2 linked regions of the Callithrix jacchus genome follow. The protein of the gene in region 2 interacts with the protein of the main gene of each other region in a pairwise test. Links are inferred from orthologs where the notes say so. Each region holds a gene or a part of one and is shown on either strand. Other genes may lie near its edges.

The links. The genes of interacting proteins can lie anywhere in the genome.
Region 1: the proteins of TRIP10 (region 2) and WAS interact in a two-hybrid assay, tested with the Homo sapiens proteins (2 studies listed by BioGRID). The link is inferred for Callithrix jacchus from reciprocal best matches to the Homo sapiens genes TRIP10 and WAS.

What each region holds. Positions count from the first base shown.
Region 1 is NC_133524.1:49,248,903-49,256,592, forward strand, and holds the start of WAS (actin nucleation-promoting factor WAS), read left to right. Parts: upstream 1-3,597; 5' UTR 3,598-3,644; coding exon 3,645-3,776; intron 3,777-4,077; coding exon 4,078-4,218; intron 4,219-4,747; exon of another isoform or gene 4,748-4,882; intron 4,883-5,512; coding exon 5,513-5,599; intron 5,600-5,699; coding exon 5,700-5,802; intron 5,803-5,915; coding exon 5,916-5,957; intron 5,958-6,050; coding exon 6,051-6,104; intron 6,105-6,895; coding exon 6,896-7,070; intron 7,071-7,690. UniProt on the Homo sapiens protein: Effector protein for Rho-type GTPases that regulates actin filament reorganization via its interaction with the Arp2/3 complex. Important for efficient actin polymerization. Possible regulator of lymphocyte and platelet function.
Region 2 is NC_133523.1:6,334,592-6,341,708, reverse strand, and holds part of TRIP10 (cdc42-interacting protein 4), read right to left. Parts: intron 7,082-7,117; coding exon 6,934-7,081; intron 6,856-6,933; coding exon 6,793-6,855; intron 6,560-6,792; coding exon 6,455-6,559; intron 6,354-6,454; coding exon 6,225-6,353; intron 5,207-6,224; coding exon 5,060-5,206; intron 4,961-5,059; coding exon 4,766-4,960; intron 3,761-4,765; coding exon 3,593-3,760; intron 3,338-3,592; coding exon 3,228-3,337; intron 1-3,227. UniProt on the Homo sapiens protein: Required for translocation of GLUT4 to the plasma membrane in response to insulin signaling. Required to coordinate membrane tubulation with reorganization of the actin cytoskeleton during endocytosis.

The DNA.
Region 1 (7,690 bases), on a different chromosome or scaffold from region 2:
CATGTTTTGTCGGAACTCAGTTATGAGCAGCCCTCGACATATCGAGGCTTGCTGACTGAGCTCCCTTCTACCCTGAATACAAGAGACCCTAATAGGCAGGAATATCATCGCCCCTATTCAGTCTGAAGAAGTTACATAAGATGAATCGTAGTCCCTCTAAACCCTTCAGGATGAAGGGTTCCCTTATAAAAAGGAAGGGCAAATATGTCAGAGGCATTTGAACCAGAGTGATTCCGTCTTGAGTAGCGACTGGGTAAAATAAGGCTGAGACCTACTGGGCTGCATTCCCAGGAGGTTAGGCATTCTTATCTAACAGGAAGGGATAAGATGTCAGCACAAGATACAGGTCACAAAGACCTTGATGATAAAAGTTTGCAGTAAGGAAGTTGGCTAAAATCCACCCAAACCGAGATAGCAGTGAACATGGCCTCTGGTCTTCCTAACTGCTCATTAGCCACTAATTATGATGCACTAGCCTGCTAAGAGACACTCCCACCAGCGCTATTACAGTGCCATGGCAACATCAAGAAGTTACCCTAAATGGTCTAAAAAGGGGAGGAATGCTCAGTTCCCAGAATTGCCCACCCCTTTCCTGGAAAACTCATGAATAATCTGCCCCTTGTTTAGCATATAATCAAGAAATAACTGGCTGGGCGCGTGGCTCAGGCCTGTAATCCTAGCACTTTTGGAGGCCGAGGTGGGTGGATCAACTGAGGTCAGGAGTTCAAGACCAGCCTGGCCATCGTGGTGAAACCCCATATTTTTTCTATAATAATAAAAAATAATAATTCTAAGTATCCTTAGTCCAGCAGCCCAAGCTGCTGCTCTGCCTATGGAGTAGCTATTCTTTATTTTACTTTCTTAATAAACTTGCTTTCACTTTAAAAACAAAAACAGGCCGGGTGCGGTGGCTCACGCCTATAATCCCAGCACTTTGGGAGGCTGAGGCGGGTGGATCATAAGGTCAAGAGATTGAGACCATCCTGGTCAACATGGTGAAACCCCGTCTCTACTAAAAATACAAAAATTAGCTGGGCATGGTGGCACGCGCCTGTAGTCCCAGCTACTCGGGAGGCTGAGGCAGGAGAATTGCTTGAACCCAGGAGGCAGAGGTTGCAGTGAGCTGAGATCGCGCCATTGCACTCCAGCCTGGGTAACAAGAGCAAAACTCCATCTCAAAAAAAATAAAAATAATAAAAACAACAACAACCAGCAAATATATCAGAGGCTTAGCGTCCCCTATTCAAGGGGACAGTTCTGGAGGCAGAGAAAAAGATAGAAAGGTATAGAACAAAAGACAGAGAGGAGCAGATGAATTTTATCTCGGCCCCCATGTGGCACCTCACAGCTTGGGAACAACTATTTCTCTCATAATTTTCCTCAACTCCACCAGTCACAAGCTGTGTGACCTTGGGTAAGGCACCCAAGTTCCTCTGGGCCTCAGCTTCCCCATCAGTACAATGGGGATAACAACAATAGTCCTTACTTGGTGGGGTCATCTGTGAATGTGAAATGAGTTAATAAATGGAAGGCACTTAGAAAAACCTCTGAAACCACTGAATCGAATTGGATATCATTATTGATCCCTCATTCAATCCCTCAATACCCATTTAGTGCCATCTGTCCAGATGCTGGAGATACTCCTGGCACACCGTGACTGCTCATCGAGCGTGTCACAATGAACATGTGCAATGGCCTTGAAGGCCACATCGGGGCCTGCCCTGATCAGCTGGTTGGAAGTGCTCTAGGCCTGAAGCTTAGCTGTGAGTGGGGACACGGGAGGGAGGTTGGAACTGCCACTGCAGAAGGGACTCTCAGCCTAGGTTCAGGAGAGAGGCTTTGAACCTGCATGTGTGGGGAGCCATGGAAGTTTCCAGGAAGGGCTGCAGGTCCCATCTGGAGATGTGCCATTCCTCCTTCAGGTACCTAGGAATGTCAGTCACACCCCAGACCTGCTCAGCTCCCCAAAACTGCTGTCCCTATGCCTGAGAGCTTCAAGTCCCCAGAACGTGCACTTACTCTTGGCCTGCCTGGCTCGCACTCCTGGAAAAGGGTTCAGAACAGTGCCTGGCACATACATTAAGTGCTATGCGAGTGAAGATAAAACTAGGATGTCCAGTGGGGAGAACGCAAGCCTTTGAATATTATGTGCTTTTACAAACTTCAAGAGCAAAGAAAACTAAACAAGATGTTGTTCAGGTATATCATATATGATATAAATTTCCTTTCTTTTTTTTTTTTTTTTTGAGACTGAGTTTCGCTCTTGTTACCCAGTCTGGCGTGCAATGGTGCGATCTCGGCTCACCGCAACCTCCGCCTCCTGGGTTCAGGCAATTCTCCTGCCTCAGCCTCCTGAGTAGCTGGGATTACAGGCACCCGCCACCATGCCCAGCTAATTTTTTTGTATTTTTAGTAGAGACGGGGTTTCACCATGTTGACCGGGATGGTCTCGATCTCTTGACCTCGTGATCCACCTGCCTTGGCCTCCCAAAGTGCTGGTATTACAGGCTTGAGCCACCGTGCCTGGCCCTAAAGTTCCTTTCTTTAAAAAAGGGATGACAAGCAGAAAGTAATTTGGGAGCTGTGGAGAGGCAAGGTAAGGGATGGGGGAGTGAACCAGAGGCATATGCGTAATTGGCAGTGTCTGGGTACTCAGGATAGGGGTGGATCACAAGGGCTCGCTCTGTAATTAAAAGGAAAGGGTTTTTTTGTTTGTTTTTGAGACAGAGTCTTGCTCTGTCATCATCCAGAATGGCATGCAGTGGTTCGATCTCAGCTCACTGCAACCTCTGCCTCCCAGGTTCAAGTGATTCTCCTGCCTCAGCCTCCTGAGTAGCTAGGACTATAAGTGTGTGCCATCATGCCTGGATAATTTTGGTAATTTTTTTTCTTTTTCTTTCATTTTTTAGAGATGGGGTGTCACCATGTTGGCCAGGCTGGTCTTGAACTCCTGACCTCAGGTGATCCACCCATCTCAGCCTCCCAAAGTGCTGGGATTACAGGCGTGAGCCACTGTGCCTGGCCTAATTTTTGTATTTTTTAGTAGAGATGGGGTTTCACCATATTGCCCAGGATGGTCTTTAACTCCTGACTTCAAGTGATCTGCTCGCCTCGGCCTCCCAAAGTGTTGGGATTACAGGCGTGAGCCACCGCGCCTGGCCAAAAGGAAAAATGTTACTGTAGTAACCCTTCAGCACTAGGGACCTAGAGCCTTAGTCTCAGGCTACCTGGGTGCCTTACAAAGGAGGCCACCCAGGCCCATGGCTACTCTTTGCCACAGGGAGCCCTGCACACAGATGTGCTGCTGATGGCTAAGCTCTCACTGCCTGCCAGAGGGAGGAGGGTCTGAGCCAGTCAGAGGAGATAGGCCCCAGAGAGTAAGAAAGACGGAGGAGGAGGACCCAAGCTGATCCAAAAGATGGGTCTAAGCAGTTAAGTGGAAGAGGGTTCCAATCTGATGGCAGAGGGCCCAAGCTTGGCCTAATGAGGAGGAGGCCAGGCCCACCAAGGGGCCCCTGGAGTACTTGTTTCACTTGTCCCTTGTGGGTTTTTGCACTTCCTGTTCCCTTGCTGCTCACTGCGGAAGTTCCTCTTCTTACCCTGCACCCAGAGCCTCACTGGAGAAGACAAGGACAGAAAGCACCATGAGTGGGGGCCCAATGGGAGGAAGGCCCGGGGGCCGAGGAGCACCAGTGGTTCAGCAGAACATACCGTCCACCCTCCTCCAGGACCACGAGAACCAGCGACTCTTTGAGATGCTTGGACGAAAATGCTTGGTGAGCTGGGGATCTCCTGCCCCCGCCCCGTCCTCACTGTTTCCTCCTCTTCCTCTCCGCCTTCTCTTTCTTCCCCTCCTCCCGCTCCTCCTTTCCCTCTCCATCATCTTCTCTCCTAGAATCTCCTGTCATCGTCCACCCTTCCCAGGAAGAACCCAATGTCTACTTGCTTTCCCTCTGGCTGCATGCAGTTCTTCCTTCAGGCCCACGACTGTCATGAGGCAGGAAGGACCAGGTCTGGCTCCAAGACCCTGTGGCTACACCTGACCAGACTCCACTGACCCCTGCTTTCCCCTCCCAGACGCTGGCCACCGCAGTTGTTCAGCTGTACCTGGCGCTGCCCCCTGGAGCTGAGCACTGGACCAAGGAGCATTGTGGGGCTGTGTGCTTCGTGAAGGATAACCCCAAGAAGTCCTACTTCATCCGCCTTTATGGCCTTCAGGTGACTCCCACCCCCCTACTGGACTTGCAAGCCAGTTCTCAACTCACAAACCCAGATCTGTCAAATCTGTGTCCATCTGTGTCCATCGCCCCAAGACCTCAGACCTGATTAATGAATCCCTGAGCCCCAGAACCAAAGACTCAGCCAGATGGCAAACTGTAGCTTGCCTTTCTAAGTCTACAATGACTGGCCTCAGCCTCCATATCAAAATCTCTAAAGCCCCCCAATTATTAGTATACTGCCTAAGCCTAATCTTTTCTACAAATTCCAAGAAATGAGCACTGTATTTATACCTGAATCTATTCTAAACTCAACATTTTGCATCCCAGGAATCCTTCATCAAAACTCTTGAACCCCAGATGTTTGCCAAGCTCCTAAGTCATAAATCAGTTCCCCAAACCCCAAACTTGAATATTCCATTGATCCTTGAACTCCACATCTGTCCTTTTAAATCCACAGCACAGACCCCAGAGTTCCCATATTAAAATTCCTGAACACTCAAATACCAAGGTAGTTTTTTTTTTTTAACCTATGTGTCCAAGGCATGAACCAGGCATAGGCACAGATCAAGAGCCAAGCTGGGATGAACAAGGGGTTGCTTTGTCCCTGGCTGATATGAGATGGGCACTACCAACCAGATGCCACTCTACCCAGGTCAGGGACACAAGGTAGTTCTTAAGAAAAAAGTCTTTTTCACAATCCCCCAACCTGAACTTTCTAGGTTTAAGCCCCAAATTCATCCTTCTAAACCCATAAAGATGGACTCAGCATAACTTCAAGATCCCAAGCCTGTCAAAGCTTGACCAAACTCCTAAGCCATGACTCTTCTCCACAAACCCCAAATTGCACTTACTTTAGCTGGACTCCCCACAAAACTCCCAAATCTATGTGTTTGAACTTCAAATCTCAACTCTAACTCCCAAATACCAGAATCCTACCTGTCATTAATTGGGGCTGGGGTGGCAGGGAAGGGCACAGATTGAGTCTCTGAATGAGTCTCAACTTCCTAAGACTAGAGTCCTAAATTATGAAATTCAAGCTCCCGAGTCCCACATCTAGGGCCCTGAACCCCAAATCCAAACCTCTCACAAAAGTGTCTGACTCCTAGATTGTACCCCAACTCCCCACATCCACACTGTTAGATTCCCCAGCTCTCTGGTACTGAGCTAAAAATCTCCAAACCAGACTATGAGACCCCCAAATCCAGACACCCTGCTCCCTGCCCAGCTAACAAAGGCCTGCCACCCCCGGCTTGCCTCAGTGCCACTGTGTCTCCCACCCTACACCTCTCCAGGCTGGTCGGCTTCTCTGGGAACAGGAGCTGTACTCACAGCTTGTCTACTCCACCCCCACCCCCTTCTTCCACACCTTCACTGGAGATGTAAGTGACCAACCAGCCCTTGAGCCTCACTTGGGTTTTGGAGAGGAGATGGGAAAGCTGCGGGGGACCTGGGAGGTGGCTGACCCCAAGGTATGTGCAGGACTGCCAAGCGGGGCTGAACTTTGCAGACGAGGGCGAGGCCCAGGCCTTCCAGGCCCTGGTGCAGGAGAAGATACAAAAAAGGAATCAGAGGCAAAGTGGAGGTGAGGAGGCTGCAGGGGAGGAAAGGAAATTGGGCAGAAGTGAGTGTAAGTATGGGAAACTAGAAAAGTCTCCTCTCATGGTTTTCACTCCCAATCCATCTGTCTATCCACAGACAGACACCAACTACCCCCACCACCAACACCAGCCAATGAAGGTGAGTCCTCTAGTACAAGTAGGGGTAATAAGGGGCTATCCCAAGAACCTGTGGCAGAGTTGTGATAGCTCTTGACACATCCCATCTTCCCAGAGAGAAGAGGAGGGCTCCCACCCCTGCCCCCACACCCAGGTGGAGACCAAGGAGGTGCGTGCTGATTCTTCCCTGTGTCTCTGGATGGATGGGTGGGTAGGTGGAAGAGTGGATGGAGGAATGAGCAGTTGGATGGGTGCCTAAGTGGGTGAATGGATGGGTATGTGGATGGATGAGTGGGTGCATGGATGTGGGGATCGATGGACGGGTGGGTGGATTCGTGGCAGATGGCTGAGTGGAGGGATGAATTGATGGGAGGATGAAAGTCTAAGTAGATAGATAGATGCATAAGTGGGCCGGGCGCTGTGGCTCACGCCTGTAATCCTACCACTTTGGGAGGCCGAGGTGGGTGGATCACCTGAAGTCAGGAGTTCAAGACCAGCCTGGCCATCATGGTGAAACCCCATCTTAAAAAAAAAAAAAGATAGATGCATAGGTGAATGGGTATGTGGATAAATGAATGAAAGGGTGTATGGATGACTGAGTAAATTCGTGAATGAGTGAATGAATGAACAGTGAATAAACGAGTACAAGACAAATTTGGTCAGTGAAGAAAGCAGGATGAATAAATAAATCAGTAAATGAAAATGTTAACAAATTCATTAGTCAGTGAGCCAGTGAATGATAAACCATGAGGGAATGAAAATAATGAATGAATCAGTGAATGTATGAATGGTTTGCAGGATCCACTCACTTCTCTATAGACCCTCCTTGAACCCTTCACCCACTCCCTCCATGACCATCCAACACACACACAGATTTCCCCAAGGCTTCTGTTTCTTGCCCCTATGCTTTGGTTGGTTGGTAAGTGGGTCAATGGGCCAACCACCCTATTTTCCCCACAGGCCCACCTGCTGGTCCGCTGTCCCTGGGGCTGGCGACAGTAGACATCCAGAACCCTGACATCACAAGTTCACGATACCGTGGACTCCCAGCACCTGTACCTGGCCCAGCTGATAAGAAACGCTCAGGGAAGAAGAAGATCAGCAAAGCTGATATTGGTGCACCCAGTGGATTCAAGTGAGAATCACTCCCCAGTGGGCCCATAGATTCCTGGGGCAGAGGGGCACATAAACAAGTGAACAGCTGAGTGGATGGAAGGATGGGCAGATGGCTGGGTGACTGGGTGGGTAAATAAGTGGATGGATAGGTAGGTGTAGGGCTGGGTCTAGAGAGAGGTAAATAAGGCAGTAAGTGTGAAAAATTTAAGGAGGTATTCACTCTTAGGAGCATGCAACTGTAATTCCTGACTCACTTAAATTTTACACCTCAGGCACCTCACTTGCCTCACCCTGGGCCCACTCTGAGTGGGCTGTTAGAGGAGAAGATGGGTGGGCAGGTGGATGAATGGATGAATAGATGAGGTAGATGATGGATGAGGTGGGCTGGTGGGTAGGTGGCTGAGTGGATGGGTGGATGGATGCATAAATGCATGGAAGAATGAATAGGTTGAAGAATGAATGGATAAGTGGTTGGATGGACGGGTTGATGGGTTGATGGGAGGTGGGTGAGTAGATGGATGGGTGAGTGGATGAGTGTGTGGACAGACTGATATGCAGGCTGACTGGTTCACAGACAAGGTGGATGGTGATGGACAGGTGGATAGATAGGTGGATGAATGGACAGTTCAATGGATAAGT
Region 2 (7,117 bases):
GGAGGTGGAGGTTGCAGTGAGCTGAGATCACACCATTGCACTCCAGCCTGGGTTACAAAAGTGAAATTCCTTCTCAAAAAAAAAAATTTTTTTTTAACAATTTTTTAAAAATAGGGGGAGGAGGGGATGGGGAAAAAAGAAAGAAAGAAAGAAAGATAAATATGGCCGGGTGAGGTAGCTCACGTCTGTAATCCCAGCACTTTGGGAGGCCAAGGTGGGTGGATCATGAGGTTAGGAGTTCGAAACCAGCCTGGCCAATATGGTGAAACCCCATCTCTACTGTATATAAAAATTATCTGGGCATGGTGGCATGTGCCTATAGTCCTAGCTACTTGGGAGGCTGAAGCAGGAAAATTGCTTAAACCCGGGAGGCAGAAATTGCAGTGAGCCAAGATCGTGCCACTGCGTTCCAGCCTGGCCCACAGAGTGAGACTCTGTCTCAAAAAGAAAAGAAAACAGAAAGATAAATATAACACTAAACAAGACAGTCAGGATCTTAACTCTGCATACAATCTCTAAGGAAAACTTGAGAATTCAAATAAATCCATGTACACTGTTTAGTACAGTAAGTGATTAATAAATACTGTTTTCGTTATCATTAGTCTATCATCTCCGTCTCCTCTGTGTCTACATATACAGGTAGTCACGACTATAACAGATCTTTGGAAAAGACCAGACCTAAGCTCGACTTACTTTCAGTTATTTATTTATTTTTTCTTGAGACACAGTCTCACTCTGTGGCCCAGGCTGGAGTGCAGTGGCGCAGTCTCAGCTCACTGCAACCTCCGCCTCCTGGGTTCCAGCGATTCTTGTGCCTCAGCTGCCCGAGTAGCTGGGATTACAGGTGCACGTCACCACGCCTGGCTAATTTTTGTATTTTTAATAGAGTCAGGATTTCCGTATGTTGCCCAGGCTGGTCTCGAACTCCTGGCCTCAAGCCATCCACCTGCCTCGGCCTCCCAGAGTGCTTGCATTACGGGCATAAGCCGCTGCGCCCGGCCAATTTCATTCCAGTTCTAACACCTGACCCACTTTACAGATGAAGAAACAGGAATTAGAAGGTGAAACAAGCTGCCCAAGATCTCGGAGATGAAGCTGGAAATCAAGTCCAGTTTGTTTTGACTCTAGAACATGCACCCTTAACCCCTCCACCATAGACACCCAGGAACTAGAGAGTTCTGAATGGAACTTTACACCAATAAAAGCTATTCTGTCCAAGAGGTTACATGCAAATGGCAAAATACCATTTGGCTGCCTGTTAGCAAGTGGCAAATGTCATTCCTATTATGTAACAGGACTGGGAAGAAGATTTTGTTGCTTGGAAAGAGTAAAGATTTTTTTTTAATCTGGCAGATTTTTTTGTTGTTAATATTTTGTGTGTTTGAACTGTTAGACAACCATATGCTGCTTTTTCTTTCTTTCAGCCAATTGATGTGGTGATCTAGATGGATGGATTTTTTGGTATTGAACCATCTTTGCATTATTGGGATAATGCCCAAGTGATGATGAATTTTTTTTTTTTTTTTTTTTTTTAGTTTTTAAAAAATTTGTTGTTTCTTTTTTTTTGAGACAGAGTTTCACTCTTGTTGCCCGGGCTGGAATGCAATGGCTCGACCTTGGCTCACCGCAACTACTGCCTCCTGGGTTCAAGCAGTTCACCTCAGCCTCCCAAGTAGGGATTATGGCTGCATGCCACAATGCCCTGCTAATTTTTGTATTTTCAGCAGAGACAGGGTTTTACTATGTTGGTCAGACTTGTCTCAAACACCTGACCTCAGGTGATCCGCCTGCCTCAGCCTCCCAAAGTGATGTATTATTTTTTAAACACTGGATCTGCTTGGCTAGGCTTTTGTGAAGGATTTGCTTGGCTAGGATCTATGATCATAAATAAAGTAAAATGAGCCCTCAATTTTCTCTTCTTGAATTCTTGGCCACTGATTTGGGAATCAGGATTCTTCAGCCTAAAGAGGCTGACAGGTTTCACTCTTTTTCTGTTTGCTGGAAGGACTTGTGTAAGACAAGAAGTAACTGTTTCTTTTGTTCTTTTTGAGACAGGGTCTCACTCTGGCAGCCAGGCTAAAGTGCATATGGTGCAATCACAGCTATCTGCAGTCTCAGCTTCCCAGGCACAAGCCATCCTCCCACCTCAGCCTCCCAAGTAGCTGAGACAGGCACAAAACACCACACCCAGCTATTTTTTTTTTTTTTTTTTTTTTTTGTAGAAATGGAGTCTCACTCTGTTGCCCAGGCAGGACTCAAACTCCTAGGCTCAGGTGATCCTCCTGCCCTGACCTCCCAAAATACCAGGATTGCAGGCATGAGCCACTGCACCTGGTCAAGAAGTAACTGTCCCTTGGGATTGTTGGGGAGATCATCATCAGGGTCTTCAGATTGTTGGAGAGATCTCTGAATACTATTTAGATGTCATTCATTTACAGACCAGGGCAGTGGCTCATGCCTATAATTCCAGCATTATGGAAGGCCAAGGCAGGCAGATCACCTTAGGTCAGGAGTTCAAGACCAGGCTGGACAACATGGGAAAACCCCACCTCTACCAAAATATAAAAAGTAGCTGGGTGTGGTAGTGCACGCCTGTGGTCCTACGTACTTGGGAGGCTGAGGCACAGAATCGCTTGAACCTGGGATGTTGAACTTTTAGTCCAACTTTTAATGAGGCTGCAGTGAGCCAAGATTGCGCCACTGCACTCCAGCCTGGGTGACAGAGCAAGACCCTGTCTTAAAATAAAATAAAAATGGCCAAAACGGGGTCTCACTGAGAGGCTGAGGCGGTCTACGGCCATACCACCCTGAACGCGCCCGATCTCGTCTGATCTCGGAAGCTAAGCAGGGTCGGGCCTGGTTAGTACTTGGATGGGAGACGCTGAGGCGAGCGGATCACGAGGTCAGGAGTTTTGAGTCCAGCCTGGCCAACATGACGAAACTCCGTCTCTACTAAAAATACAAATACTTAGCCAGACATGGTGGCATGCAACTGTGATCCCAGCTACTCAGGAGGCTGAGGCAGGACAACTGCTTGAACCTGGGAGGTGGAGGTCGCAGTGAGCTGAGATCGTGCCACTACACTCTGGCCTGGGCAACAGAGCAAGACTCCATCTCAAAAAATAATAAAATATAATAAAAATGAAATAAATAAAGTGATAAATAAATGGAATTCATTTACTATTTTATCATGCTCCTTGCCTGCCCTCCCTACCCCACCACCGTACCTCTGGTCAACCTCCTTCTGAAGTTCACGATTGCGTTCTTCCAACTGCTGTTGAAGCCGTTTTCGCTGCTGCTCTGGGGGCAAGTGGCTAAAATCCTCGGTCACCACTGTCTGCAAGGTGGGTATGGGGTTGAACTGGGGATCAAGGAGTCTAGGCTGCCAGACTCTGCACACGTCTGAGCTATTTCACTTCCTTCCCCAGCCACGATTCTTGGCAGCGAGGCCATGCACAGAGCAAAGCGGGTCTGGGTTGGGCAACCAGGGAAGAGGGGCCCAGCCAGCGGCAGGAAGCGAGCCCAGGGTCCCGCCACCCGCCGCTGGGCAGGCTAGGGCCACCACCTCCTCCTGCCCCGAGGCCTCACTTACCCCACGGCTGCCTCGAAGGCTGCGGAAGGATGCTAGCCTCGGTTTGACCGACTTACTGATCTCGCTCAGTATGGTCAAGGGGTCACGGCCGGAGCGGGGGGACGGGGGTCCATTAGGCAATGCCAAGGGTATGGGGCCCCCCAGGGGGGAGAGGGGTGGGGGGCGAGGCTACCGGCAGGGGGCGGGGAGAGGGATAGGTTGAAGGAGTGGGTGGGGGTAGGAAGATGCAGAGAATGCGGACGAATGGACGGAGGAATGGACGCATGGATGGACGGATGGACGCAACAAAGAAAAAAAAGGAAAAACAAAACGGAGAAAGAAAAAAAATGGTAAGAAAACCACAACTCAGGATGTGCAACCACACAGAGAAAAATGCATGCAAGAGCGACATAAAAAATCTGGAAGGTGGCGGGAAGGAGGTCGAACTGTAAGCCCGAAAGCCAGAACTCTCAGGCCCCCAGGTATCTCCTAGGTCTCTGGAAGGTGATGTCCGGGGGCAAGCATGGGTCAGGAGGCAGGGGCACACATGTCTCTCTGTCCACTTAGCTTTCGGGGCTGACAGTCTAGAAGACGCATGCAGGAATCACGGTCTCAGACACATATGGGGCCACAGAGGCCACAAGCCGAGAGGGGAGTGGGAAGCAGGAAGATGAGTGGGGTTGGGGCATCAGAGGGCTGAGTCCGGAGATCACAGGTGTAAGTCGAGGAGAGGTATGAAAGTTTGAGTCAGGGGGCCCCGAAGTGTAAATCAAAGTATAAACCAAGGGTGCCAAGGTCTGAAAATCCAAACAGCCAAGACAAGAGGACGTGCAGGGTGGTTCCCAGAGTCCCACCAGCAGGATGGAGAGAGGAACTCGGGGAGTCCCCAGGGATGATGTCACCAGCCCTCAGGCCAGCCCTCAATTCCACCAGCAGGTCTTCTCCCAGCATCCCGAGAAGCAGCAAACAGACAGACGCCACAGACCTCCCCTCCCCACCCCCCCCTTCGCCTCGGGGGACTCCCAGGCCAATCGGCCCGCCCGCCTTCCTTCCCTCCAGCCCGGGCCGGCAGCCAAGAGGAAAATTCCTGCCCGGGACTCAGCGTTCAGGCGGCTGGGGCTGACTCAGTAGGGGCCCCACTGTCCCCACCTCACTGTCCTTCTCCCCCAGCATCCCAAGGGTCCCGGCCCCCACCTTGTTTTTCTTCCCAAAAGGCCAGCGCTTGGCACGGCTGCGGCCCGGGCCCCGGAGCTCAGGCCGTCCTTCCGAGGGGGTGCCCAGGCTGCTGTCCGAGGGTGCCCGGTTCATGGGCTGGCTGAAGTCCTCGAATTCCACGTCGCCCGGGCGGGCAAAACCTGACTTGTGCAGCTCTATAAGGACTTGGGAGTCCTGGGAGAGGGGCACAGGGGATGTGCAGTCAAGCGCCTTGCTTATGGGGACCTCCCTCTGCCCACCCCCCGGCCCACTGTTCCCAGAACAGGCACCTACGTTCTTGGGATCCACAGCATGTGCCGCCACCTTCATGCCCTCCAAACACTTGGCGATGATGGGCACCACCTCCAGCTCGGCCTCCGAGAGGAGCCCATACCCAGCACCCAGGCGGATAGCCCTGCGTTCGTCCATGTCCTGGAGCTTCTGTAGGGATGGGGCAAGCGGGGCTCAGGGGTGCTAACAGAGGTTCTAGAAGCACAGTGAGTCACTCTGCAACTATGATCGCGCTCCACGCTGGCCTCAACCCCAAGCCAGTCTGGAGGGGAAGACAGAATCGGGAAGAGAGACTCCAGCCCAGTGTGGCTGAAGAGACACAGTGCCAGGGGGATGGCAGAGGGGTATGCCTGCCTAGGTCGGCAAAGGCTTCTCCAAGGAGACAAGAGGGCAGGGATTTAAAGAAAAAGCAGAACCAGCCCTGATATTCCCAGGGCCAGGGACCGGACAGAGAGTGGAGCACTAGATTAAAACCAAGAGGGTAACTTTGGCCGGGCACGGTGGCTCACACCTGTAATCCCAGCACTTTGGGAGGCCAAGGAGAGCGGATCACGAGGTCAGGAGTTTGAGACCAGGCTGGCCAATATGGTGAAATCCCATCTCTACTAAAAATACAAAATTTAGCCAGGTGTGGTGCTGTGCGCCTACAGTCCCAGCTACTCGGGAGGCTGGCACAGAAGAATCGCTTGAACCCAGGAGGCGGAGGTTGCAGTGAGCTGAGATCGCGCCATTGCACTCCAGCCTGGGTGACAGAGCAAGACTCCATCTCAAAAAATAAAAAAAAAAAGAAGAAGAAAAATTTGAGACCTTTCAGAAGAGTTGTTAGAGGTGGAGCTTAGAAGAATAAGTAGGAATTTCAAAAAGAAAGAAAGGTCGCTTGAGCCAAGGGGTTCCAGGCTGCAGTAAGCTGTGATCTTGCCACTGCCTGGGTGACAGAGCTGGGCCCCATCTCTCTATAGAAGTAAATAAACAAACAAATAAGTAAAAGGCATGCCCAGCAAGAAGAACAGCTGGACTAAAAGAACAGCATCTGACTATTATTATAGGTTTCTGATTCACTTTCAATCTAGGGACTGGAACATTGCAGCTGGGGTTTTGACGAATGTGTAAGAGTTGGTTAACATTGAGGGCTTTCCGGAAGGTAGGTCTGAGAACTGGGAGCACTCACATCGAATATCTGGGGCATCTGTGAAAAGTAGAAGTGGGCTTGGTCTCGGTTGAAGCGTTGTAGTTGAGCCGCGTATTCGTTTTTGCTTTCTTCTGCCATGTGACTCCGGAGGTGGGCTTGCTGCTTGGCCTGGGGAATGCAGCGGTGGAGGAGACTGCCAGGTTCTGGTCACATCCCACTCAGATTCCCCCAAGTCTGTCCCAGACCCTGCCTCCCCCCAACACACACACCTTCTCCACATCAGCCTTGGTGGCGTTGATATCCTGGTCTAGCCGCTCAGCAGTCTGGGCTGCCTTCTCTGCCTCCCGGCAGTCCCGCTCAAATTTACGCTTACTCTGTGTAAGGGACAGAACCAGAGTGAAGGAGCCACCATCCCAAAGACAGCGGGGTGAAAAGCCAGCTTTCAGGTTGTTGGGATGTCACCTGTAAGTAGGGGACAAGGGCATACTGGAAGCCTATGGGGGAGGGAAGGGCTAGGTCCGATAAAGAGGGCAGCTGCCTGACTCCACGATCCACAAGGCCCCCCCCACCCACTCCAGGCCAGTCGCTGCTGCCTCTGCACACTCACATTCTCCAGCTGTTTGAAGCCGTTTTCCAGCTGCTGCTGGGCCCTGCGTCCTTCTTGGAAGTGCTACAGAAAGAAGAGCGATAAGGCTCAACAGGGTTCCAGCAGGAGCCCTTTGCAAGACCTGGAGAGGGGGTTCCTCACCATCTTCCTCTCCTGTTTCATCTCTTGCGAGTACTTGGTCAGCTCTAGACACACACGGACACTCAGGTTCTCGGCCACCAGCTCCCGCTGGCCGGCAAAGTCATTCACCTCCTGGAGAATCTGTACGAAGGACTGCTGCTGGCTGAATCTGGGGTAGGATGAGAATCACGGAACAGGGAGTGAG